Linked DNA regions of Oryctolagus cuniculus. The protein of the gene in region 1 interacts with the protein of each later gene in a biochemical or structural test. Links are inferred from orthologs where the notes say so. Each region holds a gene or a part of one and is shown in the gene's direction. Other genes may lie near its edges.

The links.
Region 2: the proteins of ERBB3 (region 1) and SH2D1A form a complex in vitro, tested with the Homo sapiens proteins (2 studies listed by BioGRID and IntAct, with this or other methods). The link is inferred for Oryctolagus cuniculus from reciprocal best matches to the Homo sapiens genes ERBB3 and SH2D1A.
Region 3: the proteins of ERBB3 (region 1) and SH2B3 form a complex in vitro, tested with the Homo sapiens proteins (2 studies listed by BioGRID and IntAct, with this or other methods). The link is inferred for Oryctolagus cuniculus from reciprocal best matches to the Homo sapiens genes ERBB3 and SH2B3.
Region 4: the proteins of ERBB3 (region 1) and SYK form a complex in vitro, tested with the Homo sapiens proteins (2 studies listed by BioGRID and IntAct, with this or other methods). The link is inferred for Oryctolagus cuniculus from reciprocal best matches to the Homo sapiens genes ERBB3 and SYK.
Region 5: the proteins of ERBB3 (region 1) and RASA1 form a complex in vitro, tested with the Homo sapiens proteins (2 studies listed by BioGRID and IntAct, with this or other methods). The link is inferred for Oryctolagus cuniculus from reciprocal best matches to the Homo sapiens genes ERBB3 and RASA1.
Region 6: the proteins of ERBB3 (region 1) and FER form a complex in vitro, tested with the Homo sapiens proteins (2 studies listed by BioGRID and IntAct, with this or other methods). The link is inferred for Oryctolagus cuniculus from reciprocal best matches to the Homo sapiens genes ERBB3 and FER.
Region 7: the proteins of ERBB3 (region 1) and SHC3 form a complex in vitro, tested with the Homo sapiens proteins (2 studies listed by BioGRID and IntAct, with this or other methods). The link is inferred for Oryctolagus cuniculus from reciprocal best matches to the Homo sapiens genes ERBB3 and SHC3.

Annotation. Positions count from the first base shown.
Region 1 is NC_091442.1:58,882,812-58,886,311, forward strand, and holds part of ERBB3 (receptor tyrosine-protein kinase erbB-3), read left to right. Parts: intron 1-362; coding exon 363-514; intron 515-1,676; coding exon 1,677-1,863; intron 1,864-2,477; coding exon 2,478-2,603; intron 2,604-3,178; coding exon 3,179-3,244; intron 3,245-3,375; coding exon 3,376-3,494; intron 3,495-3,500. UniProt on the Homo sapiens protein: Tyrosine-protein kinase that plays an essential role as cell surface receptor for neuregulins.
Region 2 is NC_091453.1:102,156,218-102,159,717, forward strand, and holds the end of SH2D1A (SH2 domain-containing protein 1A), read left to right. Parts: intron 1-16; coding exon 17-149; intron 150-1,532; coding exon 1,533-1,573; 3' UTR 1,574-3,280; downstream 3,281-3,500.
Region 3 is NC_091452.1:8,875,179-8,878,660, forward strand, and holds part of SH2B3 (SH2B adapter protein 3), read left to right. Parts: intron 1-2,474; coding exon 2,475-2,576; intron 2,577-2,653; coding exon 2,654-2,745; intron 2,746-2,827; coding exon 2,828-2,916; intron 2,917-3,218; coding exon 3,219-3,433; intron 3,434-3,482. UniProt on the Homo sapiens protein: Links T-cell receptor activation signal to phospholipase C-gamma-1, GRB2 and phosphatidylinositol 3-kinase.
Region 4 is NC_091432.1:139,310,811-139,314,310, forward strand, and holds part of SYK (tyrosine-protein kinase SYK), read left to right. Parts: intron 1-485; 5' UTR 486-533; coding exon 534-947; intron 948-3,500. UniProt on the Homo sapiens protein: Non-receptor tyrosine kinase which mediates signal transduction downstream of a variety of transmembrane receptors including classical immunoreceptors like the B-cell receptor (BCR).
Region 5 is NC_091445.1:10,280,050-10,283,549, forward strand, and holds part of RASA1 (ras GTPase-activating protein 1), read left to right. Parts: intron 1-630; coding exon 631-788; intron 789-1,322; coding exon 1,323-1,399; intron 1,400-2,469; coding exon 2,470-2,642; intron 2,643-3,288; coding exon 3,289-3,448; intron 3,449-3,500. UniProt on the Homo sapiens protein: Inhibitory regulator of the Ras-cyclic AMP pathway. Stimulates the GTPase of normal but not oncogenic Ras p21; this stimulation may be further increased in the presence of NCK1.
Region 6 is NC_091445.1:31,373,146-31,377,308, forward strand, and holds the start of FER (tyrosine-protein kinase Fer), read left to right. Parts: upstream 1-1,363; 5' UTR 1,364-1,482; intron 1,483-4,163. UniProt on the Homo sapiens protein: Tyrosine-protein kinase that acts downstream of cell surface receptors for growth factors and plays a role in the regulation of the actin cytoskeleton, microtubule assembly, lamellipodia formation, cell adhesion, cell migration and chemotaxis.
Region 7 is NC_091432.1:137,986,897-137,990,855, reverse strand, and holds the start of SHC3 (SHC-transforming protein 3), read left to right. Parts: upstream 1-1,159; 5' UTR 1,160-1,637; intron 1,638-1,644; exon of another isoform or gene 1,645-1,775; 5' UTR 1,776-2,142; coding exon 2,143-2,634; intron 2,635-3,959. UniProt on the Homo sapiens protein: Signaling adapter that couples activated growth factor receptors to signaling pathway in neurons. Involved in the signal transduction pathways of neurotrophin-activated Trk receptors in cortical neurons.

The DNA of each region.
Region 1 (3,500 bases):
GGCCCTAGTTGGGGGTGGGGGGAGAGGATAATCAAAGTTGTGGTCCTTTCCTAACTTCTCCTTTCTGAGAAGGGAAAAAAAAATCCCCTGTGTCTTCCCGCTCTGTTAACCCCTTAGTACCCTAAGGTCATACCTGAGAGGTGCCTGGTCACAAAAGGAGATCTTCCCACATTCCCCTTCAGAGTGGCAGGGGCATCTGGGGCACCCCCAGGCCTCCCTGTCTACCCCCAGCTGGGAGGGTAGAAGTCAGCTGCCCTCCAGTGCTGTTGAAAGTTGGGGGGAAGAGCAGGGCACCCCAGGGGGCGGCCTCCGGGCTGAACTTGGGTCCAGCCTGGCGCCACTCCCACCTCCGCTGCCGACAGTGTGTCCTGGGACTCTGAACGGGCTGAGCGTGACTGGCGATGCCGAGAACCAATACCAGACACTGCACAAGCTCTATGAGAAATGTGAGGTGGTGATGGGGAACCTGGAGATTGTGCTCACCGGACACAATGCTGATCTCTCCTTCCTGCAGGTGAGTGCCTGCTTCTGCCCCCCCCCCCCCGCCTCCTTTGCTTCTGCAGGACCACCCCCTGCTGGAGTTCAGTATGCCCAAGACACAGTAGTTCTGAAGATTTAAAACCTGTGCGTTTATGTGGACAGTGACTGGAACCTGGGATCTAGGGCCTGGGCGTTGATGCCAGGGACATCACAGGGGCCACCCATGAGAAGGGGGCAGGGCAGGTGGTGGGCACAGGGGGTGCAAGGTAAGGAGGACCAGGAGGCCCCCCGGGGAGATGGGGAAGAGACTCAGCCAGGATGTTCCTGGCATGAGGGACTCTGAGAAGAAAAGGGTAAGATGTAGAGTTTCTCAGTCACTTCTGCTGTCTTCACGCACAGCAGTGACACACTCATGTGACACAGTCCTTAGAAAAAATTAAGAGTTAATGATTCCTCAGTGTCTTTAAATGGGAGAAGAGGTAAAGATTATTATTTTTTGTATAAAGATTTATTTATTTGAAAGACAGTTGGGGCTGGCGCTGTGGCTTAGCAGGTTAAGCGAACTTCTGCAGAGCTGGCATCCCATATGGGTGCCAGTTCAAGTCCCAGCTGCTCCACTTCCAATCTAGCCCCCTGCTAATACACCTGGGAAAAGCAGTAGAGGATGGCCCAAGTGCTTGGGCCCCTGCACCCATGTGGGAGACCTGGGAGAAGCTTTTGGCTCCTGGCTTTGATGTAGCCCAACCCTGGCCATTGCAGCCATTTGGGGAGTGAGCCAGAGGATGCACGATCTTTCTCCTCACTCTCTGTAACTCTGATGTTCAAATGAATAAATACTTAAAAAAAAAAGAAATGGAAGACAGTGATGGGTAGAGAGGAGAAACAGGAAGAGAAGTACCTGCCATCCACTGGTTCACTCCCCAAATGGCCACGAGAGTCGGGTCTGGAGCAGGCTGAAGTCAGGTGCCCGGAACTCCATCCGGTCTCCCACATGAGTAGCAGGGGTCTAAGTACTTGGGTCATCCTCCGCTGTCTTTCTAGGTGCCTTAGCAGAGAAGCTGGGATTAGAACCAGCATTCCTATATGGAATGCTGGCATCAGAGGCAGCCACTAAACCCCCTGTGCCCCAAGGTCAGCCCTGGGATTGGGATTTTTTGGTTCTGCCATCCCTCTCATTGACGCGCTCTCCATCACAGTGGATCCGAGAAGTGACGGGCTACGTCCTCGTGGCCATGAACGAGTTCTCTACGCTACCCTTGCCCAACCTCCGAGTGGTGCGCGGGACTCAGGTGTACGATGGGAAGTTCGCCATCTTTGTCATGTTGAACTACAATACCAACTCCAGCCACGCGCTGCGCCAGCTCCGCTTCACTCAGCTCACCGGTCAGTTCTTGAGGAGTCCTCTGGCCTTGCCCCACAGCCAGCCTGCTGACAAGGACCTCCTGGAGGAGGACCCCTGCCTTCCCACTTTAGGTGCCCCTCTGGGGCACCCCGCAACCTTGGCCTCTGTGGTCTCAAGACCCCCTGGGGGAGGGCCTCACAGCATGGTGGGCTGGAGATGGAGCTGCACTGTTCCCTCCTTCCCCAGGAATCTTTGCTTCCTCTCACGTCTATAGGGTTAAATATCACCTAGTCCCAGTCAGTTGGAAAACACACACACACACACACACACACACAAACACGTAGGCCTCGGGAGAGGGGGTGTTGAGTCAGAGATGTTCTCTTGCCTCCTTTCCTTTCCCTTCCCCCACTTGCTAAACCGGATCTGGACAGGTGTCTGAGGAGGCAGGAGTTGCTTTTCCGCCTGACTCCTCCTTTTCTGAGGCGAGCCGCTTCCGTCGCTGAGATTTCGCTGGACATATCTGTCTGCCCGGTGCCCCCTGCCCCCCGCCTGCTCCAGAATGGCCTTTTGGATGGGAGCCGGGGGATGGTGGTGGAGAGGAGAGGATGCCACAGCAAGTAGCCCCTAACCCTGTCACTTCTCTTCCCTCCCTCAGAGATTCTGTCCGGGGGCGTTTATATCGAGAAGAATGACAAGCTTTGTCACATGGACACGATCGACTGGAGGGACATCGTGAGGGACCCAGGAGCTGAGATAGTGGTGAAGGACAATGGCCGGAGCTGTGAGTGGCCGGGGTTGAGCCCCCCACCCCCAGACAAACCAGAGAGACTCCCTTCCCTGCCTCCTGGCCTCCCTGCTGAGTAAACTCCTGGGGCTCCAGAGCCAAGGGCCACACAGGAGGGACTGGGTCCAGTCCCTGGAACCCAACCTAAGCAGCTGAGGAAAAGGGGCCCAGAGCTCTCCGTGTACAAAGCAGAGGGACCAAGTTTCTGGACTCCTTTCCTGCACACGCCCTACCTCCCCTGACCACGATCTGCTGCTCCCTGTTCATTCACACGCATGTATTTAGTTTGCCAAGGAGGAACCAGGTTCCTGGGTTGGGACTGGGGCTGAGGTTGGCATTGGCCCCAGCCCCTCCCCTTCAGCTGCCCAGTGGGTGGTGTGGAGGCGTGGCTCCACCCCTTGTTGACAGGTTCACTGGAGCCCAGCCCTGCTCTCCAAGGGCAGGGAGGGGACACTGCCCTGCCTCTTTGTTTCCCGGGCCGAGGTGCCTGTGTGCTGACATCATAGGCTGTTGATTCAAGCAAGCGTTTCTGAGCCCTGATGGCCTCTTCTGTCGCCTTCTTTCCCAATCAGGTCCCCCGTGTCACGAGGTCTGCAAGGGGAGATGCTGGGGTCCTGGACCAGAAGACTGCCAGACACGTGGGTTTGAACTTCCCTCGAAAACCCTCAAACCCACAGGCTTTCATGCCCCTGCCTACCCAAGCCCGTGTCAGCCCTGAGGCTGGGGATGGGCAACGCCGTAGAATTCAGTGCTTTCTCTCCTTCCACAGTGACCAAGACCATCTGTGCCCCTCAGTGTAACGGCCACTGCTTTGGGCCCGACCCCAACCAGTGCTGCCATGATGAGTGCGCCGGGGGCTGCTCAGGCCCTCAGGACACCGACTGCTTCGTACGT
Region 2 (3,500 bases), on another chromosome or scaffold:
GCCTTTTATTTTTCAGACAGCACCTGGGGTACATAAACGATTTTTCCGGAAAATAAAAAATCTCATTTCAGCATTTCAGAAGCCAGATCAAGGCATTGTAATACCTCTGCAATATCCAGTTGAGAAGTCCTCAGCCCGAAGTACACAAGGTACTACAGATTTGGGTTTACTATTATTTTTTGACAGGGCTTGGAAGTTCAGGGTTATGTATTAACCTATTTATAACAATACAATCACTTAGAAGTTCTTCAGGAAAGATGCAATGAGAAAGTAGAGGTAGCTGGAAGATCAAGTGAGTGGTAATTATGTGCTATAGTTTCAACATGCTATACTACAAACTTTTAATAAAGCTGTGCAAAAATGTCAACAATTCTGTAAACCCACTACATTTTAATCCCTATTGTTCCATTTTATTCTCCTCAGTCCCTTTGTAGGTATGTAAGTCCTATTTCACTTTACTAATTCAGACACTAGCAATTTGAAAGATGGGATACTTCAGGGAATATCTCGGCTGTTCTTTACCTTTGCTTAGTAAACTTTTTTTTCCCCTTCAGGGATATAAAGGCTAATGTTACTTGGTCTATGTGATCCTGATGTCTGAATTGGTACTGCTTAATTAATGAAATTTTATTGTGGTAAAGAAAATTAAATTAGTGGACTTTATTATTCCACTGGCACAAACTGCTATAACTCCTGAGCAAAGCTATTTTAGCTTGTATGTCAGGCTAAAATGAATACCTGCAGATGCCTGTAATGGTCTGAAACGTGACTGTATGCCTCTATTGAAAGGGGTAAATCATAGCCGGTGCTGCGGCTCACTAGGCTAATCCTCTGCCTGTGGCGCTGGCACCCCTGGTTCTAGTCTTGGTTGGGGCGCCGGATTCTGTCCCGGTTGCTCCTTTTCCAGTCCAGCTCTCTGCTGTGGCCCGGGAGTGCAGTGGAGGATGGCCCAAGTGCTTGGGCCCTGCACCCGCATGGGAGACCAGAAGGAAGCATCTGGCTCCTGGCTTCAGATCGGTGCGGTGCGCCAGCTGTAGCAGCCATTTGGGGGGTGAACCGATGAAAGGAAGACCTTTCTCTCTCTCTCTCTCTCTCTCACTGTCTAACTCTGCCTGTCAAAAAAAAAAAAAAAAAAGAAAGGGGTAAATCATTTGTTTGGAGTAAGAGGATATGCCTTGATTGAAACAATAAATATTTATGATAAAAGAAAATGAATCATTATGTCCTTTTAATTTTTTGACAGGGACTCAGGCATAAACTGACAATTAGACTCAAGTGGCAAATTAAATTAATGAATACTTAGCCTTAATAATGGAAATATAAATAGAACTCTAATTGGCTAATTGTTCTCTTCTGCCCAGTATTCCATTCTTCAAAACTCAGTTTTAAATAATAGTTGCTTAAGGTGTATCATCGTGTTATATTGTTGTAAATTTTATACAGTAGGAAATTTGATTATACATTTGAGTTAACTTATGCTGTAAATAGTTTGAATGCTTATCTTTTCTTGAGTTTTGTTATTACTTTTTTAGGGAGAAGAGAAGATCCTGATGTATGCCTGAAAGCACCATGAAGAAAAAGAAAACACCTTGTACTTTATTCAGTAATTTAAATATATGCTAAGTCTTATATATTGTAGATAATACAGTTCAGTGAGCTACAAATGCATTTCTAAAACCATCATAGTCCTCTAATGGAAGCATCTAGCCTGATGTTCAAGCTGAGATGGGCTTTGTAGATAATGAAGAGCTTTGAAATGGGGATTGGAAAAAAAATAATTCCCTAGGTTATCTTCAGTTATTGTATTTACAAATGGGAAACAATTTAAAGCACAATGAATACTTTATAAGAGATTGATATCAATTCTTGCCAAATACAAATAAAAATAATACTCAGTTTTTGTCAAAAGCACCATTTTTAGTGAAATATTATTTGAGAGTTACCGATTTGAAATTGTTTCGCTTTGACTGTATGGAGGGATGTTGGTTAGTAGCCTTCATCTTTGGCATATGCAGTTCTCCATTAGCTATGGTGTCATAGGCTCTTTTGGGATTCATGAAGCTGTGTACTGTTTGCTAAAGTAAGGACTAGAGAAATAGCAAAGCGTTTCTGTTTAATTCTGAAAGCCACCTTCTTGCCTAGTGTTCTGATGTAGTACAGTAATCATCTACATACTAATGTGGAGTTGAAAATCCCACAATTAAAAATATGCTCTAAATATTGACTATATTTGATGCTCCGGGATTTAAACTTACAAATCCGGTGAAGTGTACTTTTCATCTTTTAGTTTGCCTCTGTGCAGGTTGTTTCCACTACACGTGAAACCTGATTTAAAGGGCAACCTCAGCAGCTGCAGGTCTTCCAGTAAGTCATGCGGAAGCACCTCCCTCTTAGGTATCCCTAGAAGCCCATTGGAAAGCTTACGGTTACATTAACTTTTAACAATTCCAAGTGATTGAAAGCTAAGTGAGAGTCTGAATTTTATGCAGTATTTTCTTTTCACATTTGTATTTGCATGACTTGAGTGATTGATTTTATGTTGGGTTGCTTCAGGGCTCATTGAATTGCTTCAGCCAACAAACATAAGAGGGCACGGGGCGGTGGGTAGAGAAATAAAAACACTTGATCCCTGTCCTTGGATAGCTCACTGTCTAGTTGCACAAGAAAACAACAATAAAGGTGGATAAATACATGATAAGTGAGATTCCCCATGTGTAGGTAGGTCTGCCTTTAGAGGCAGAATGAAGTAACAAATACTGTGGTTTCTGGTCTACTGGAAAAGGCTGAGCTTTATTGTGAACTAATCAATTGGGGTTCCAGGTTGTACATGCGTGTTGGTGGGCTTGGTTAATAATTAATGGACTGCTGAGAGACAGTACTACTCCCCATGTGCTGTCAAGGTCCGATTTGTGAACACTGAACATCGACGCTGTGGGAGTGCACAAGGTGGAGTACAGTCACGATAAGGTATAGGGCATGGTTTGCTATTTCTTGAATTAAGAGCATCACTTTAAATTGTAAAGGATTCCAGAAAGCCTACTTTCTAGACAAAAATGCATGTGTTTCTTATTTTTTAATTATTTGAAGCTTGAGTTTAAGTTATAAAATGTGTAGCTAATTTTTACTCTTGAATGTGCTCATTCTGGATTAATCCTAAACACATGAATCATGTTTGCATGTGCTTTTATGAGAGCTTTTTTTTTTTTTTGAAAACAGCTATCTTGAATCATTTATGGTCTTCCACATTTTAATAAAGTGTTTGAAAGCTTCATTTACCTAATTTGTCTTAAAATACTCCTTTTGAAAATATGCAGAGCAGAGGCTATTAATAAAGGAAATAAAGCACTGATGAAGGCCATCTTACTTATCTTATTGAACAGCTTCCCTGGAAAGGTAAGTGCTTCTCTGATTGTGCTATTGTCAGATTTGCCAGCTGATGAGCCCACCCCCTGTCTTCTTCGGCTGGCCTTTTATTCATCAACTTTTTTTCCCTCACTTTT
Region 3 (3,482 bases), on another chromosome or scaffold:
GTTCGTCCATTTACCCACCAGGCTCTGGGCTGCACGGGTGACTCGGCTGTTGGTGGCATGGACCCGGGGCTTCCTCTGAGGCTTGTAGGGCCTCATCCGAGATCCCCGTCTGCCGCGGGCAGTGGGCGCGAGAGGAATGTGAGGCCGCACAGCCCTGGGGGGGACGAGGGTGCTCTCATGTTGGGGCTGTCGCCGGATCCCATCTGGCATGGCCAGCCACGCTGGGGTCTTCATGCCAGGCCCTCTGTGTCCTCTTCTGTCTCTCCAGTTCCTGCCCTAGAATCAGTCCTGCTGATCCCCCACACCTGGTGACTCCATGGCTTCTGGGGCTGCCACAGGACACAGGTCCTGCCTGTGTGTAGCGTGCCACCCCACCCTGCAGGGTCTCTGCAGTATCACCCAGTGCCGCGAGGTGCACCGTGTGCCCGTGGCCTCACCGCTACCCCCAAGTTCCAGCCCTTGCTAGAATGGAACTGCTGGGACCCTCACTCCCAGGAGGCGAGCGGGGGTAGCCCTCCCCAGGTGGGCGGAGAGCCACGGACGCCCCAGGGTTGGGCACAGCTGTGCGTACCGTCAAAGGTCTCCAGAGAGACGAGAGAGGGCAGAGCCAGAGCCAGCGCCCGGCTGTCCCCGTGAAAGCACGCACGGCTCTGCCTCCCTGCAGGCTCGCCTTGCTTTTCAGAACACGCTGTCTGCCGCAGGCCCTCTGAAAGGCGGCTGATCTCGCAGAAACTGCCTGCAGTCGGGCAGGACTGTGGGGTCCCGTGTGACTGTCACTGCGGGATGGGAAAGGGGCACGTGACAGGAAGGGCAGGGTGGGGGAGAGTGGGTGCGTCCCGGGCTGCCCCACTGAATGAGGCCTTTCACTTACACTGGCTCACCCGTCACCATAGCAACCCCAGGAAGCGCGCTCTGCCTTACGACGACTGGAGAGCAGCTTGCTCAGGACTGCCCTGGAAGTGGCAGGGTCAGGGCTGGCCCCGACAACCTAGAGGGTAAGAGAACGATCCAGTGCGGGGTAAGCCCTCCCAAGAACTGGGACAGTGTCGGAGCTCGGAGCTCCCCGACAGCCACAGCGCAGAAAGAACCGAGGCGGCGGTCGCTGCAACGGGAGCAGAGGACTTTCGCCCCAGAAGCGGCACTTGCGCCAGGTGCCGGAACGTTCTGCCGCCTCGTTCGCTCCCTCAACCCGAGTCCGTGGCCGAGCCGCCCGCCACCAGGCAGCTCAGCGGCCGACCTACCTGGGTGGCGCTGCTGCCCGCAGGGAAGCAGCCTGCAGGCAGGTGGCGGCCAGGGCGTGGAGGGGAATCCTCCCCAGTCTGCTTGCTCAGCAGTTCCGCAGCTGTGGGGGGAGGAGCTGGCAGAGAGGGGCCCCACAGAGTGAGAGCGGCGGCTTTGCTGGTTAATCTCGGCGCTCACACTGGGCCTGGGCCAGGAGCGGAACTGAAAGGGAGCCCAGGCCTGGCAGACTTCCTGGTAGGGTTCCTGAGGGCGGGCAGGCAGGGTCAGCTGCACAAGAAGGGGCGAAGCCCTTTGTAGACAGGAAATGGACGCTTTGAAGGGTTGGTCAACTGCGCCAGCAGCTAAGAGCAGCCCTCCCCCCCCCCCCCCGCCTGCCCAGCCTGTCCAGCTGCAGGGCCTTGCCCTGCCCCCTCCTGGCCGCAGCAGTGGCAGCATGGGCTGTGATTTGAGCCAAATTCTTGGAGCTGCTCTCCTTCCTCTGTCGGTTGTTAGCACATTACTGCCCCCACCCTGCTGAGGGGTGCCCAGCCCGGGAAGGGCCCTGGTGTGGTCAGCTTTCTGTGGCCAGGCCACCCCGTCTCCTCCCCAGCCATCGGCCCCCTTGTGGAGAGGGCCCGGACCAGGCCGAGGTCGTGGTCCTCGTCTGGTGGCTGTGTCCGAGGCACGATGAAGTTGCGGCTTTGGGACTGACCTTTCGAAAGACAGCCTCTGGCCATGAGGAGCCCTTTTGGGGACAGGTGGCGGTTGGAAGCGCCGGAAGCCACGGTGCTAGGAACACATCTTGGGGCCTCCGTGCTAGCTCGTGGTCCGTGAGAAAAGCAGGTGCTGGCGAGAGGGGGCCCTGCGGCCTCCTGTCCACCCCCCTTTCTAATCTGCCCCGACCTCTGTCATCAGCCATCTCCTGGCGCCTTATCACAGAAGGAAAAGATGGGTGTGGGGGGGTGGGGCCTGGCTCACCCCTTCTGAGACAACGCCCATGCCCACCCGGCAGCAGCAGGCTCCTGGGGGCAGGGGTCTGCAGGGCCAGCCCTGCTGTAGCTGGGTGCCCGCAGGCCCTGGGGACCCGGCCGGTGCTGCCACTCTGCAGCCCTGGGTGTTGCCCAGTGAGGCCACAGTGTGGGGTGTCAGAGGCCTGTTCATCGATGGCACACAGCAGGCGCCTGTGCAGGCCTGGGTGGACAGAGTGCCTGCCACCAGGGACCCGTCTTGAGTGCCCCTTCTTGGTCTCCTAGAGCTCAAAGCCCAAACTGCAAGCAGCCTGCTCCAGCATCCAGGAGGTCCGGCGGTGCACACGCCTGGAGATGCCCGACAACCTCCACACCTTCGTGCTCAAGGTGGGTCATAGAGCTGTGCATAGCCCAGGCCCCCGCGGACATGCCTCAGCCCGACAGCTGTTCCCTCCCTCTGCCAGGTGAAGGAGCGGACAGACATCATCTTCGAGGTGGGGGACGAGCAGCAGCTGAATTCGTGGCTGGCCGAGCTCCGGGCGTGCACAGGCCGAGGGTGAGGCCCGAGACCCCTGCCGCTGGCACAGCCTCTTCTGCCCTAACCTGCGCCCCCCAGTCACGTGTGGCCTCTTCTCCAGCAGGCTGGGGCACAGCGATTCAGAGCCACGTGTCCCCTCCCCCCTGGAGCCCAGCACGCCCAGGGGAAGCACAGACGCCCCTAACCAAGGTGAGTGGAGCCTCGGTCCAGGGTCAACCCATCTTCTCTTTAAGGTTTATTTATTTGAGAGAGAAATCTTCCATCTGCTGGTTCACTCCCCAAATGGCTACCGAAGCCAGGAGCTGCTTCTAGGTCTCCCACGTGGGTGGCAGGGGTCCAAGCACTGCTGCTTTCCCAGGTGCATTAGTAGGGAGCTGACTGGAAGTGGAGCAGCCGGGACTCGAACCAGGGCCCATGTGGGATGCCGGCACCGCAGGTGGCAGCTTTACCTGCTGTGCCACAGCACCGGCCCCTCCCATCTTCTCTCCCAGCTGCTGCTCCTGGGGGGCTGCTGGACCCAGCTTGCCAGAAGACGGATCATTTCCTGTCCTGCTACCCCTGGTTCCACGGCCCCATATCCAGAGTGAAGGCAGCACAGCTGGTGCAGCTGCAGGGCGCGGGTGCTCACGGAGTGTTCCTGGTGCGGCAGAGTGAGTCCCGGCGTGGGGAGTACGTGCTCACGTTCAACTTCCAGGGCAGAGCCAAGGTAGGGGGCAGGGCAGGTGGGCTGTGCCACCCTTCCCCTTGGGGCCCGG
Region 4 (3,500 bases), on another chromosome or scaffold:
TCCATTCTGAGCTGGACTGGCAGGTCTCCGGTTTGAAAGGATCCAGGGGGTTTTAGCAAATGCCCCTTGCTGCTTGGGCTCCTCACATTGAGTGATCTGAGAATCTGTCCCCCCACACTCACGTGGAAGTCTAATCCACAAGGTCTTGTGTTCATGGTGCTAGGGGGCTGGGGACTTGATCCAAGTGTGCTGCTCCCCGGTGGAACCTTTGGGCAGTGATTAGATTGGATTAAATCATGGCGTGGAGCCCTCAGGATCAGATCCTAGTGGCTTTATAAGGAAAGAGGAGATATAAACAGACATGTATGCTCCCACCACGATATGTTATATTCCAAAAGTCCTTTGCCAGAGCCTTGCTATGTTATTTGGAGCCAGCACATCTAGAAGCATGAGCCAAAGTAAACCTCTTTATAAAGTATCCTTTCTTGGGCATTTCATTACAGTAACAGAAGCTGACCGACACTCCCATCTTTGTCTTGCCCCAGGTGGACCCCTGCATGTGCCCTTGCATCTCCTAAGGGGCCAGCACAGCCATGGCCAGCAACACGGTGGACAGTGCCAACCACCTGCCCTTCTTCTTCGGCAACATCACCCGGGAAGAGGCCGAGGATTACCTGGTCCAGGGAGGCATGACTGATGGGCTCTACCTGCTGCGCCAGAGTCGCAATTACCTGGGCGGCTTTGCCCTGTCGGTGGCCCACGGGAGGAAGGCGCACCACTACACCATCGAGAGGGAGCTCAATGGGACCTATGCCATCGCTGGTGGCAGGACACACAGCAGCCCCGCCGAGCTCTGTCACTACCACTCTCAGGAGTCCGACGGCCTCATCTGCCTCCTCAAGACGCCCTTCAACCGGCCCCCTGGGGTGCAGCCCAAGACCGGGCCCTTTGAGGACTTGAAGGAGAGCCTCATCAGGGAGTACGTGAAGCAGACGTGGAACCTGCAGGTGAGGTGTGGCCAGCCCTGAGTTCATAGGTCCCTATAAACCCACACGTGCAGAACCATGGTGCATGTAAACCATACCACAGCGCCCAAATCCGTGCATAGTTTTTTCGTAATATGCATTTCCCATGAACTTTGAAGATCCCATGTGTGCATGGATTTCAAAGTATTTTGCACAAAATTTTTTTTTTTTTAATTCTATCTTCTGCAAACCTATTGAAGAAATCTCCCGGCAACCATTTCCGTAGTCATCAACCCTGGCTCCAAATGCTCCAAGAAGACTGCCCTTCCTCTGTACAAACACAGCCCAGAGAGTGGGCCCCTGCCCTCCAGCCACGTGGGTGTCTCCACTGCAGGAAGCCATTCCCCTGCCACCCAGTTCATGGCGGGCCCTTTGGGAGAGGCATGGCTGGGCATCTATTGTTATTTATTCTCCTAACAAGGTCATGGTGTGCCCGCTGTTTGGAACCAGATTTTTTTTTTTTGACAGGCAGAGTGGACAGTGAGAGAGAGAGAGAGACAGAGAGAAAGGTCTTCCTCTGCCGTTGGTTCACCCTCCAATGGCCGCCACTGCTGGCGCGCTGCGGCCGGCGCACCGCGCTGATCCGATGGCAGGAGCCAGGTGCTTATCCTGGTCTCCCATGGGGTGCAGGGCCCAAGCACTTGGGCCATCCTCCACTGCACTCCCTGGCCACAGCAGAGAGCTGGCCTGGAAGAGGGGCAACCGGGACGGAATCCGGTGCCCTGGCCAGGACTAGAACCTGGTGTGCTGGCGCCGCAAGGTGGAGAATTAGCCTAGTGAGCCGCGGCACCGGCTTGGAACCAGATTTAATAGCTTCCTAAATCTCTTGCAGACATTTCTATGTATCAGTTACCCTGTCTTTGGTTGCCTGGCATTGCCTGTTGTGTACCAAATTTATTTAGCTAGTCCTTGTTGATGGACATTTTTATGGTTTGAAAAATAATTCTCCTAACAACAGTATTCTGTCCCCATCTTAAACTAAGCTTATGTGCAATGCCTGCCAGATAAACTCTAAAAAGGCTAGGTTTGTCACAGCCCAGGGTATGAGTGTGTGTGTGTGTGTGTGTGTGTGTGTTTAATGTGGATACATTGACGAGTTCCATCTACAAAGGTGACAGAGGTTGTAACCATTTGCGCTCCTGCCACATTCATTCTTGATAGTATTTGGTGTCAAGAGCCAACAGTTTAGATTGATAGTCTCTTCTTGGACATAAGTGCTCAACCACTTCTCCTTGTGCTCCCGGGAGGTCTGTCTTGTGCTTTGCTATGTATTTGATGCATGCTGATTTATGGCCATATGGATCCTCTGAGGACGCCATAGAGACTCCGTTTATTCATTCAGTATGGCCTGTGTTAAATTCAGCCTCGCAGAGGGATTTTGCAATAATGTACTCAGTATTTTTCATTCGTATTCATTGGGTATGTCTTAGGCCATGCATTTATTCTTTATTAAGTCAGGTAAGTCATATTTCTTGGGTGGAGTTTACACACAGTGAATTGATCCGTTTTGAGTGTGCAGTCCTATGATCTTTGACATATGCCTGGTATCACATAATCCCTACATCGTCAAGGCAGGCATTAGCTCCCTCACCTTCATCTGTCCCAGCTCCTGGAAACCGCTCATTTGATTCCTGTCCCCACCGTTTCGCCTTTTCTAGAATGTCACGTAAGGGGAATTCCACAGCATGTAGCCTTCGCAGAGTGGCTTCCTCCACAAAACGCGATGCGCCTGCTATTCAGCCGTGGCATTGCCGGTGCCCAGGGCTATGTCTGGCCTGTGATCTACAGCCATGTGCTTTTTCCTCCGTTCACCTTGTTCCGCGTGCCCCGTGGTGTATGACTGTCGCCGTCCTTGTCTCCCTCCCTGCCTTCTGCCTCCCTTCTTCCAGCTCCTGCTGTGGGATGGCAACAGTTATGTTGTTAGTGCTTCTCTTCTCCAATGCGAGGAATCGAACTTTGGCTCTTCAGTGACTAATGAGATGATCTATGTCTCTCCCACCGAAAAAGACAGAGAAACCAAATGGCGTGGCTGCCAGCCCCTTCCCCCATGTTGGATTTCCCCATCGTTAAGTCCGCATGGTCAAGGCTTTCTGCCATCATGCGTGTGATCCCATTTCTTGCAGGTGCAGGTGCAGGCTGGGGTGGGGGAATGAGTACTCGGGGAAGCCACACGCGCTTTCCTTGCAACTGCCTGGAGGTTGCGACACAGGACAGCCAGGCCATCTAGGCTGCAGGCAGGAGGCCGCGCCCTAGACCTTGTGGGTTATACCAGGTGCCATGCAATAGCTTTTGACAGGCCAGTCTCCTTATTCTACAATCTGGTTTTTTTTTTTTTTTTTTTTTTTTTTTTTTTTTACTATACTCTTGAGGATACTTAAGTAATATACAGGGAGTCTTCAAAGTTCTTGGAAAATGCATATTATGAAAAATCTATTCATGGTTTTCCAGGTTTTTTTTTTTTTTTGCACCAGAAAATGGTATCTTAATTCCATTTCCATGAGGATCCTCAGATAAAAGTCTTACTGTTTGTATTTA
Region 5 (3,500 bases), on another chromosome or scaffold:
TATAAACTGGGAGAAACCAGGTTGAATTTTTGCAGAGAACAAGTTGTGTCTTGGATGAAAGTTTAGCCATAAAATTACTTTTGTATCTATTATCTCCTGAGCTGCTTTTATGTGCCAAGTATTTTCTTAGATGGTGCACATATCCTGTTTCTGATCCTTGGATCAGTCTACAGTGTAGACTCTATACTCATTAGAAGGCTGATCCAGGTCTTAAACTCTTTTGCTGTGGAATTTCCTTTAACAGTGATTGAAATCTTCCAGATAAACATAACATAGCACAGGATTTTGATTCAAGTCGTGATGGTTGTTTACTGAAGAATCCTTTTCTCTATATCATTTTCTCTATATCATTGTTTTAGGATAGAAAAAGGGACATTTCACTATGCCAGCAGGAATAAGTAACAGGAATAACTTGAGAAATAAAACTGCATATTTTAAGTCAGAAAAATTATTTTAAATGACTTTATTGTGTGTCACACAAAAAGGGGGGAAAATATAAGCAAAAATCAGATTTCCTGAAAGGAAAACAAATTATTAGAAGCTTTTATAGTGATTGCTTTTGAATTTTAATGCATAATTCTTGAAATAAAGGAATAATAACTTTTTTGTATGTACTTTTGTATTTTTTAGGTCAGCAGCCTTGTTTTACATATTGAAGAGGCCCATAAACTCCCAGTAAAACACTTTACTAATCCATATTGTAACATCTATCTGAATAGTGTCCAGGTAGCAAAAACTCATGCGAGGGAAGGGCAAAACCCAGTATGGTCAGAAGAGTTTGTCTTTGAGTAAGTCTTATTTTATTGTGACATTACATAATTTTCTTTTACCACATTGCATTCATTGCATTTTCTTTTCTCTTCTGGTTCTCTGTGTATGTAAGCTGTTAAAATAGAATACCAAGTGTAGGTGTTTTATTAACACATAATTTGTTTTCAGTTGTATGTTTACCTTTATTAGTGATACACTATCCGTGCCCTTGCTTGTTCACCTATTAGTACAAAGTAGTGTAACTGAAAAGTCTAGAAACATTGACTAGTCCACACATACAAGGTGTTTACTAGGGTTTCTAGGATTTAAGTTGAATAAATTATTAATTTAGAAGTTTAAAGTTGGTGAGGAAGGTGTATAAGTTGCTTGTCTGTGTTCTTGTTTATGAAATTAAAAAAAATGTTGTAAATCTAGTTTTAAATCCAGCACACTTTTTTTTTTTTTTTAAACATAAATAGGGGGCTTGATACCAGAACTATTAAGTACTTCAAGTAGTTTAATACCAGAACATCGAACATTTTGTTAATTCTTTTTCTTTCTTCTTGTTTTAGCGATCTTCCTCCTGACATCAATAGATTTGAAATAACTCTTAGTAATAAAACAAAGAAAAGCAAAGATCCTGATATCTGTAAGTTGATACAGAAATTCTTTCTAAAGTTAAAAGGCATGCTTTAAATAGTTTTAAAGGAACTACAGCTTAAGATGGAAATAAAAAAAAGCACCAGTGTAAAATTTGAGAATTTTTCTCTGTTACATTTTAAGTACCTAAGAAAAAAAGACCAAAATGGCTAAACTACAGATACTGTGAACTTGGTCCCCTAAAAATAACTTAAGCATTCTTCCCTCCCCAGTAAATAGGAAGAATAAGAAAATGGTAACTGTGGTCATCTTTCTATCAGGTTTCTTTCCATTCCAGCTTTCAAATTTTTATATTTTTTTTACTTTCCTGTTTTAGCATAATAAAAAGTAATCTGTTTTTAAAAATTTCTTTAAACTACAGTGTGCTATTTATTGAATTCTGGTAATCAGGTGCTCCCAATTCTTTCTCTAAGCAGCACACCTCTTCCCAGCCCGCTGCTAAGGCAGTTGGCAGTGGGATTTTAGCAGCTCACATCAGGCTGAACTAGGTTAATACCTTCTTAAAACTCAGCTTAGTGAAGGAAGCGATATACATAGACCAAATACATTAAGCAAGATCAAAGCCTGAATTTTTCTCCATAAGTAATGTTTATTCTGTAATTTCGATGCTGTTTAAATGTTTAACATTTTTAAAGTCATTTCTCATGACTTTTATGATAAAATCCAACTCTCTAAGTAATGACAGAAGCAAGACCACACCCTCTGTCTGGACTGGTTTTTCCCCCTCTACCGTTTTCTTAGCTATACTTCCAGATCTTGCTACAAGTCATCTCAAGGGTTACCAATTGGGAATGGATTTCTAGCTGTCTGGGCTGAATCAGATATGATTCTTCTGAACTGCAAGAGCATTAACCACTGGTGTAGCACTTAGCACCCAGTACTAGCACACAGCTGGTAATCAGTAAATGAAGTAGCAACTCACTATCCAACTTCTGATATTCTTAACGTTCCTCTAAAAGAAAGGATTGACACTATAGAGACTGTGAGCATCAGGAAATTTTACTTGTGTGACTAAGTAAAATGTTTTCTTCTTAGTAAGCATTTGTTTTTCTTTCAAAGTATTTATGCGTTGCCAGTTAAGCCGCTTACAGAAGGGGCATGCCACCGATGAATGGTTTTTGCTCAGCTCCCATATACCGTTAAAAGGTATTGAACCAGGATCCTTGCGTGTTCGAGCACGATATTCTATGGAAAAAATCATGCCAGAGGAAGAGTACAGTGAATTTAAAGAGGTATTAAGTATTTACTGGTCTAATCACTTTTGGTGGAATATTTTTAACAGAAATATTTTAGTTAATATAATAGCTATTAAGTTAAATATTGTAATTTCATAGCTTAGTGGTATACTGATAGCCAGAGGAGGTAAAAAATATTGCAGTAGGTTAATTTTGGTCTTAAAGGACTAGAAATATGTACACTTCAAGCTCATTCTATTTATTTTAAATTTTATTGGTTTGTTTTCATTTAATGTGAAAGGCAGAGACAAACAGGGATCTTCCGTCTGCTGGTCCACTTCCCAAATCCCCACAGTAGTCATTGCTGGGCTAGGCCACAGCTGGAAACTCCATGTGGGTCCCTGGGTGTGGCTGGCAGTGACCCAAGTACTTGAGCCATCATCTGCTTCCTCCCAGGGTGTGTGTTAGCAGCAAGCTGGATTGGAAGTAGAGAAGTCAGGATATAAAGCAGCCATTCGGACATGGGATGCAGGCATCCCAAAGAATGACTTGTTTGCGATGTCAAATGTATGGCCTTATTTTTAATAAAGTATTCATTGCAACGTATTTCTAAGTGTAAAATTAGGAAAACATATTTCATGTTTCTGTGAGAATGGTAAATGCTATAAGTACTTTTAAGTAGTCTTTCTGGTGTCATTTTTAGCTTATACTGCAAAAGGAGCTTCATGTAGTCTACGCGTTATCACATGTGTGTGGACAAGACAGAACACTACTGGCTAGCATCTTGCTGAGGATTTTTCTTCATGAAAAGCTTGAATCATTGTTGTTATGTACACTAAATGACAGAGAAATAAGCATGGAAGGTATAGTATTGGTGTTAGTATGATACTTTTAAAATTAGTTACATTTCATTAT
Region 6 (4,163 bases), on another chromosome or scaffold:
TGGCAAGTCTAGCTTCCTTCCAAAACTAGCACTGTGACCTTGGACGAGCTCTTCACCTCGCCCTGTCCATTTGTACATGGGGATCACAATGGTGCCTATTCTTCACAAAGTCATCCGGAGAATTCAATGAAGGAAGGAGGCTTGGCCTCTGGCATGCACTCCAAGAATGCTAACCACGGCTTCTCCTCCCGCCTCTGCACGGCACAGGTGGTAATCACGTGGCTCTGCTGAGCCTCTTCGGGTTCCTCCCAGTTGCTGGGCTGCTAAACAAGGAACCCAAGCAGGATAGGAGGCGGAGGCGGGACACCCAAAGCTGTAACTCTGACGTTTCTCGAGGGTTTAAAGTGGAAGAATAAAGGTTTTTCTAAAGCATTTCATAGTGTCTCAAGGCCAGGAGAGCCAATGAGGACGTGGAGTACAATTCTGGATGGGTAAACTGTTACAGGACTAAATGTCTAAGCAATTTAAATAATAAAAAAAATCTACTCTTGATGAAATTATGGCACTGTTAACACTGTTTTGTGCTTCAGCCAGCGTGAGACAAGTTTTTGCTTTGTTACTAAACTACACCACCACCAGTTTTACTGAGAAAATGCATTATTTTTTTTTTTAAAGATTTAGTTATTTATTTGAAAGTCAGTTACACAGAGAGGAGAGGCAGAGAGAGAGAGAGAGGTCTTCCATCCGATGGTTCACTCCCCAGATGACTGCAACAGCCAGAGCTGTGCCTATCTGAAGCCAGGAGCCAGGAGCTTCTTCCAAATCTCCCACGCAGGTGCAGGGGCCCAAGCACTTGGGCCATCTTCTACTGCATTCCCAGGCCATAGCAGAGAGCTGGATGGGAAGAGTAGCAGCTAGGTCTCGAACCGGCAGCCATATGGTGCTTCAGGCCAGAGCATGAACTTGCTGCGCCACAGCGCCAGCCCCAGAAAATGTATTACTGCTCAAAGTTAGATTTAGATGCACATTGGCTCGCTGTACTGGCAAAACTGTAATCTAGGCCTAAGTACAAGGCCTTGCCTCCCCCGGTGGGAACCAGTGAAATAACAGTACGGTAGGACGCTGTGTTGCTGGTGGTGAATTAACACTCCACATCCATTTCTAAACCCTTGTCTATGTTTTCATTCCACGGAAGAGCCTACTTGTCTCCAGGCCTCTCACGGCTAAGACTCGGTGAGACTGCTCCAGCGATGAGAAACAGGAAGTCAGTGGGGCCGCCTCCTTCCTCAGAGCTACTATCTCGTTCACTGGTGCTTGTGGCCAGACTCAGCATTCCAGTTGTCTGGTTATCAGCGTTATCATAATCTAGAGCCTCTGGCCCGGATGCAGCAGTCAAGTGACTGGGCACCAGCTGAAGAACAGAGGCACTTAAAGGGCTCAAGCAGTGGAAGCCGCAGCAGTTTGCTGACCTCTGGGTCATGTGGTGTGCCCTTGAACCTGACATCCAGTAGCAGGCCCCTATCTTCTGCATCCTACAATTTTGTAAGTACCCAGTTTCCTGCTTTAAATCCCTTTCTGTCTGAATTATCTAGAATGGGTTCTGTTTCCTACTAAGAATCATACTGTGTGGATGTCAAGAAAAATGAAGATTTATATGAATTTTGGGACAAAATTCAGATATAAAATTAACATCAAAATGAAAAGAGAATAGTATGTATTCTTTCATTGGTATAAGGACACAGCCATTTACATGTTTGATTGTTTATACATACACAAATTGAAGGTCACATATGAAAATACAGTCAGTAATCGCTTCTGGGAAAGCAAAAATGGGGTCTGGGATAGAAAAGTTTTATATTTCATTTATAGACCCCTTAAATTGTTGACTTTTTTTTTACCATGCTCATGAAATACATTTTTTCAATTAAAATTTCTTTAGTTGCAAGAAAACAGCACACTTCTGTAACAAATTGAAAATAGAAGATATCCATCAAACCACCAATCTAAGATATCATTTGCATTTTTATATATCCTTTCTAAACCTTTGTTGATTCTTACAGTGGAATATGTAGGCATCACCTTATAGTCTGCTTATTGTTCTGATGACCTATAACTGACCTGACCTTTAGAACATGCTTATCATGTGCCAGGAATATCATTCTTTGAATGATATTCCATTGAAATTAAGATGTTTTTGATTTTAAGAGGCATCATTAGCTTGTGTCTCATTAAGAAAGAACTTGAGAAAAAAAAAAACCCTGCCTACTAAACTATAACACAAACAACATGATGATTTTTTTTCCAACTGAACCACGTATCTCTGGAAGTGAAGCAATTCTGTCTCCAGTCAACAGGAGGTTTCTGACACTTTGGTGCCTGACACCTGAGTGATGGTTCTGCACAAGGCTTGCATTGGTCATATCAGCCTCTCATTGCTTTTGTCTACTACAAGCTGTTTCAGCTTCTCTTGACATTGGCTGCTGTATGATAAGCTTGTGTCTTAGTCACAGCTTCCTCTCTGTGGTTGCTTCACATGAACATGTAGAATTGCAGTCTCTCCTGCAAAGATAAATGCTTGCCTTGCCAAATATCGAACTTAAGACCTCCTGCTCTATTTCTGTGCTTTTATCCATACAGAATAACTTTTGTTTCCATGGTGGATCATAATAAAGTTGTTAAGGCATTTTAAAATGACAAATTCAAATTATGTAGTAATTTATGTACTAATACAATGTATGTGAGAACCACATGAACAGTGATGGTCAGATATATATACATATATATACACATATATACACATACATACACATATGCATATATACACATATATATCCCTTTCTATAAGAAACCATCAATTTTAAGTAATAGTACAGTATCAGAGAAGTTAAAATGTGGAAATGGGATGAGAGTTTGGTGCAACACTTAGGACTTTGAGAGCTTGTTTGGAGGTTCTGGCAGGGGAGTGCAGCTACTTGTAAACCCTTGACTGAAGACCGGTCCTCCTTTAGCGGGTAAGGTCGTCCTCTTTGACCAAGGGCGCAACTTCAGGAGAGACGCACATGGAGCAGTGAGGGAGGAAGGGGACAGTCGCCTAGCCAGCCAGATCAGCCGAATCAACCCTGGTGATCAATGGGGTGACAGATGTTGCAGCCAGATCGCCCTCACATCCAGCAGTTAGGACTTTGTATGGGACAGCGGCATCACATATGGAGATTCCTGGGTTCGAATCCTGGCTCCACTTGCCATTCCAGCTTCCTGTTAATATATACCTTGGGAGGCAGCAGATGATGTCTTAAGTGCTTGAATTCCTGCCACGCTTGTTGGAGACTTGGATTAAATTCCTGGCTCCCAACTTCAGCCTGGCCTAGCCTTGCCTCTTGCCATCATTTGAGGAGTGAATCATCAGTTAGAAGATCTTTCTCTGTCTCTCTGCCTTTCAAATTAATATATTATATATATGTATATGTATATATATATATACACCAACATACATATATATGGGAAAACATGTTCCTTAGAATAGATGAAATACAAGTATAGTATTAGCCATTTGAACCTCAAATAACCTTTAACTCCATTTTATTATTCCTTAGATAAGAAAATCAAGAAGCAAAGAGATTATCAAGGTGCATAGTTACTAAAAAAGCAGGTCTTTTAAAATGCATTCAGTTTCTAGTGCCTACAGTAAGCTTAACTATTAAGCTATGCTGTCTCCTTGTTTTGCTAAAACTTTTCCTTTATTACTACATAATAGTCATAATTATAGAAGCTTAATTCCGTCAGAACAAACCAGAATCTAATTAACCATTATCAAACATTAGATATTATATTGGTTCCAATTTTTCTGTTGTAAATTTTACAGCAATTAACATAACAACACATATGGCTTTTCAGAACCCAAAGGGATGTATTTTAATTTTTTAGTTCAAAAACAGTACTCATTCTAGAGAATCTGGAAAATACATAAATCTTAAATGTGCAAACAAGACTATGATAATGTCATTACATTACTAACATGTTGATGAGTTCCTCTTGAATTTTTGCCATACATCTCTTCATACAGTTGAGATTATAATGGAAATGCCTTCCTCTATCCTACTTTATTCACTTGGAATATTAGTTTCTTGCAGCTGCTATAACAATTAGCACAAACTGTGAGTCGTCAAACTACAGAAATGGATTGTCGCAAAATTCTAGAGGCCAGAGAATGAAATCATGGTGTG
Region 7 (3,959 bases), on another chromosome or scaffold:
CTCTCCCTCAGCCTCGCATCTTTATGATCCTGCTGGGTAGGTTTTTTTTTTCTTCCCACACTGCCGTGGGGTAACAGATCCCGCCTTTGATTGAAATGGAATCTTCCACTATTGAGCGAGCCTTTGTTGAATGAGTCACCGGGGCGGCCGCCCATTGGCTGAGGCCCGCCGGAGCCCAGGGGATTGCCTGGCACCGGCTGCAAGGCCCTGCTTCATTCACAGAATCGCTGGCTCGCTCGCTAGCCCTTTCATTCACACAAACAGCATTCATTCACATTTTGCTGCTTTTGTCTGCTTCTAATGAAGATCACGGTTTGGGAATGACAGGGCTGTTTTGCTTCAGATTTGGGGGGGGACTTTGAGAAGCATCAACATCGTCCATGGGGTGTGCCTTGGCTGTTGCTATGCAGACCAGGGACAGGGAAAAAATGAATGCTGGGCGGCTGTTGTGCCAGGGCTGCGGCACCGGCGGGGAGCTGCGGGGACGCGTTTGCTGCGCCGGGGACGCCGCGGCTCCTCTGCGCCCGTGCGTCCGCGGCGCCGGCCGCACCCGCGCGCTCGCCGTGAGCCTCGCTCCCTAAGCCCGGGTGCGCGGAGCCCGGTGCAAGGACTTCGGGTGGTGCACAGGCCCAGTTACGGGCGAGAGAAGACTCAGGGCGGGTGAATGCATTTGCTCGCCCCAAAGTTGCTGGAAAACTTTGACAGTCTCCACGGTGGAGCAGGTTCTCTGAATGCCTGAGAAGACTGGCAGAGCCTGCCCAGGAAGGGGCCGGCGGGCTGCAGAGTCCTGGGCGAATATTCTTGGGGGCTTTGGTTGACTGGCAGGAGTCAGGCCTGTGCTGGCGCTGGCAAGCCTGAGCTGGGCTCCTGAAAAGAAGGCTTTTTTTTTTTTCTTTTTTCCTGTGGATTTGATGTGCAATGAGAACAACCGCATTTTTTTCCTTCCTGACTGCAGGGTCACAAGCAGCAACCGAAGGCACACACTGCAATGTATTGGTGGCGATCCTCAGGCGTTTTTCCAGAGATGAAACACATTCAGTTGGGATAAAGCTTCAAACACAGCTCCCCCTTTTTTGGGGGGAGTGGATTTCTGGAGCCTGTTACCCCTCATCAAAGGAGCATTCTTTTTTTTTTTTTTTTTTTTTTTTTTGGAAGTAGACATTCAGTTTAACCCTGGCTGGAGAAGACGCCTGCAAATGAGCAGGGAGGCCCCTTGATTGCCACTGCATAGAAGTTCATAGGCAGATTTTCTTTCTTTTTGGAAAAACTGCATTGCCACAGACACTCGTCATGGCCGCTGTGTGGATTGGAAAATAAAAAGAAAAACCCAGGAAACTGGTATTTTATGTTCACCTGGGGGGTGAATATTTCCTTTTTGTTGTTGTTGTTTCCTATCCAAAAATTCCTGCTGCCTTTCCAATCAGAATCCAACCGGATTCGCTCAAGGCTTATTCTTAAAAAGCCTTCGTCACGTTTTAACCCGTCGCCGTCACTTTCGCAGGCTCACCCAGAGGCGCTGAGCAGGGAAGAGGCAAACCTAACCCAGAAGAAGGGGTTTCACCAAGTCCCTGTGCTCCACCTGAGGACCTGGATTTACCTTTGGCACAGTCGCCGGGTGGAGGCGGGGGGATGGGGAGGTGAGACACCAACGGTCGGAAGGAAATATCTGGGGAGGTAGAAAAAGGCAGTTTGAGAATTGATTGGCTCCAGTGTGCTGACTGCGCGTGGATGTCGTTTTTTCTCTTCTCTCTCTCTCTCTTTTTTTTTCCCAACAGGAAGTGATTTGCAGCGCTCACGAGCCTTTGTTGAGAAGGGTCTCCTCTCCCAGTGAGTCTGATTTCGCTGTGAGCAGCCCAGAGCAGCTGGGCGCTCCATCAGAGAGCAACTATGACTTTAGCAGAGCGAACGTGCAACCCCAGGCAGCGGGCTCCGGGGCCCGGGCTGCGAGGCCGCCGCGGCGCTGGCTTCTAGTGGCGGGAGGGCACCGCGCCCCGGCTCTGTCGTCCCTCTCCAAGAGGCTGTCCCGGGACCCCCAGGTTCTGTCCCGCTGCGGGGCCCGCGGCTCGCCTGCTATGCGCGGCAGCCCGCGCCGGGGCCGGCACCAGCAGCGCCCGGGCGGATGTGGCGAGTCCACGGAGGGGCATGCTTCCGCGCACCAAGTACAACCGCTTCAGGAATGACTCGGTGACATCGGTCGATGACCTGCTCCACAGCCTGTCGGTGAGCGGCGGCGGCGGCGGCGGCGGCGGCAAGGTCTCGGCGGCGCGCGCGACCCCCGCGGCGGCGCCCTACCTGGTGTCCGGCGAGGCGCTGCGCAAGGCGCCCGACGATGGGCCCGGCAGCCTGGGCCACCTGCTCCACAAGGTGTCCCACCTGAAACTCTCCAGCTCCGGCCTTCGCGGCCTGTCGTCGGCCGCCCGGGAGCGGGCGGGCGCGCGGCTCTCGGGCAGCTGCAGCGCGCCCAGCCTGGCCGCCCCGGACGGCAGCGCGGCCCCCGCGCCCCGCGCTCCGGCCGTGAGCATGAGCGCCTCCAGGAAGGGCCGGCCGGGCGACGAGCCGCTGCCCAGACCCCCGCAGGGGGCGCCGCACGCCAGCGACCAGGTGCTGGGGCCGGGAGTCACCTACGTGGTCAAGGTAGGTGCGCGCACGGGCCCGACGAGGGCCACCTCGGTGGGGCAGGCAGGTCCGCTGCAGCCTGGGGTGCGGGGGGCGCCCAGGACTGCCGCGTTCGGGGCGGGCAGTCGCGCGGCGCTCCTCAGTGAGCTGTTCGCTTGGCAGCCGCGAGGAGAGAACTACAAATGCGCCTTTTCCGCCTCGGTTGGGAAGAAGTGGAACGGTTGGGTGACCTCGCCCTGTCCTGGTTGCTCCCGGGCTCCACTCCTTGCGCGCGCCTTCACCGCCTGGCTTCCTCCGATATCTGGCCAGTGTCCCAGGCCGCGGCGGTCTGGCCTACCTGGTGTACTTGGAACACGCTAATAATACCTGTGCAGTCCCTGGGGTTACAGGTGCAGGAGTGTCACTACTTCTGCTGTGTGCTCCCCTGGCGGTAGGGGATCGAGAGGGGTGAGGGGGTACGTTTTCTTCCCCCCAAAGCCAGAATCCCCAGCCCCGGCAAGCCAGGCCAAACGCTGTCATGCTTTCTCTTAAAAGGGTTCTACTTTCTCCCTCCGCAAGGCTTTCTCTGGTGTTTAAGTCTTTCACCAGGGTCGCTTTTGCTTTACCACAGCAAAAAGACCCTTTGGGATGTTTTGGGCAGTGACTGTGGTCTTCCACTTAAATAGGTTCACCGGGCAGGGGGCGCCGCACCAGGCAGGGTCTACACAGGCCTGTTCCCCCTCCAGCACAAAGAATTATAAAAGGAGGATAGAGTCAGTCCAATTCCTGCCTTATGCAAACACGTTCCCCTATTTAAGGAACTCCTCAGCCCAGTTCAGTTACTGTGCCCAACACCAGTTGCCTCCTGTCTGCCAGGTAGCAGTGAGCTGCTTTACCCCTAGGCAAGTGGGGGAAGGATCCAAATTGTCATTTCAGTCCTGCCACTCCAAGGCGTGACTTTTTTTATTGGAAAAGACACACACTCTCCGCCCACGGAGTGCTGGTAACATTGAGAAGCCAGCAGGATGTAAACACTGGCTCAGACCCAGTGTAAGAATTCACCAGAATGTGTCCCCAGGTATGATGTAGGACCGTGGGCATTTTGGAGCCAAGATATAAAAAGGACGTGGTTCACTTTGTGGCTAACTGAATGTGACCACTGGTGTTACAAATTGGGTCCCTTTCTCTTGTGAGTCTGTGTTTTAATTTTACCTGCATTTTAGCTTCTGATTTTGGATTGTTGTGTTTTACCAAAAGGGATGGAGATCAGTATGAAATATGCACATTTGGTCGGGTTTATCTTAAGAGGAAATGAATACTAATCTTGCATTGCTTATTCAAATTATGTAACCAAGGGCCAAAAA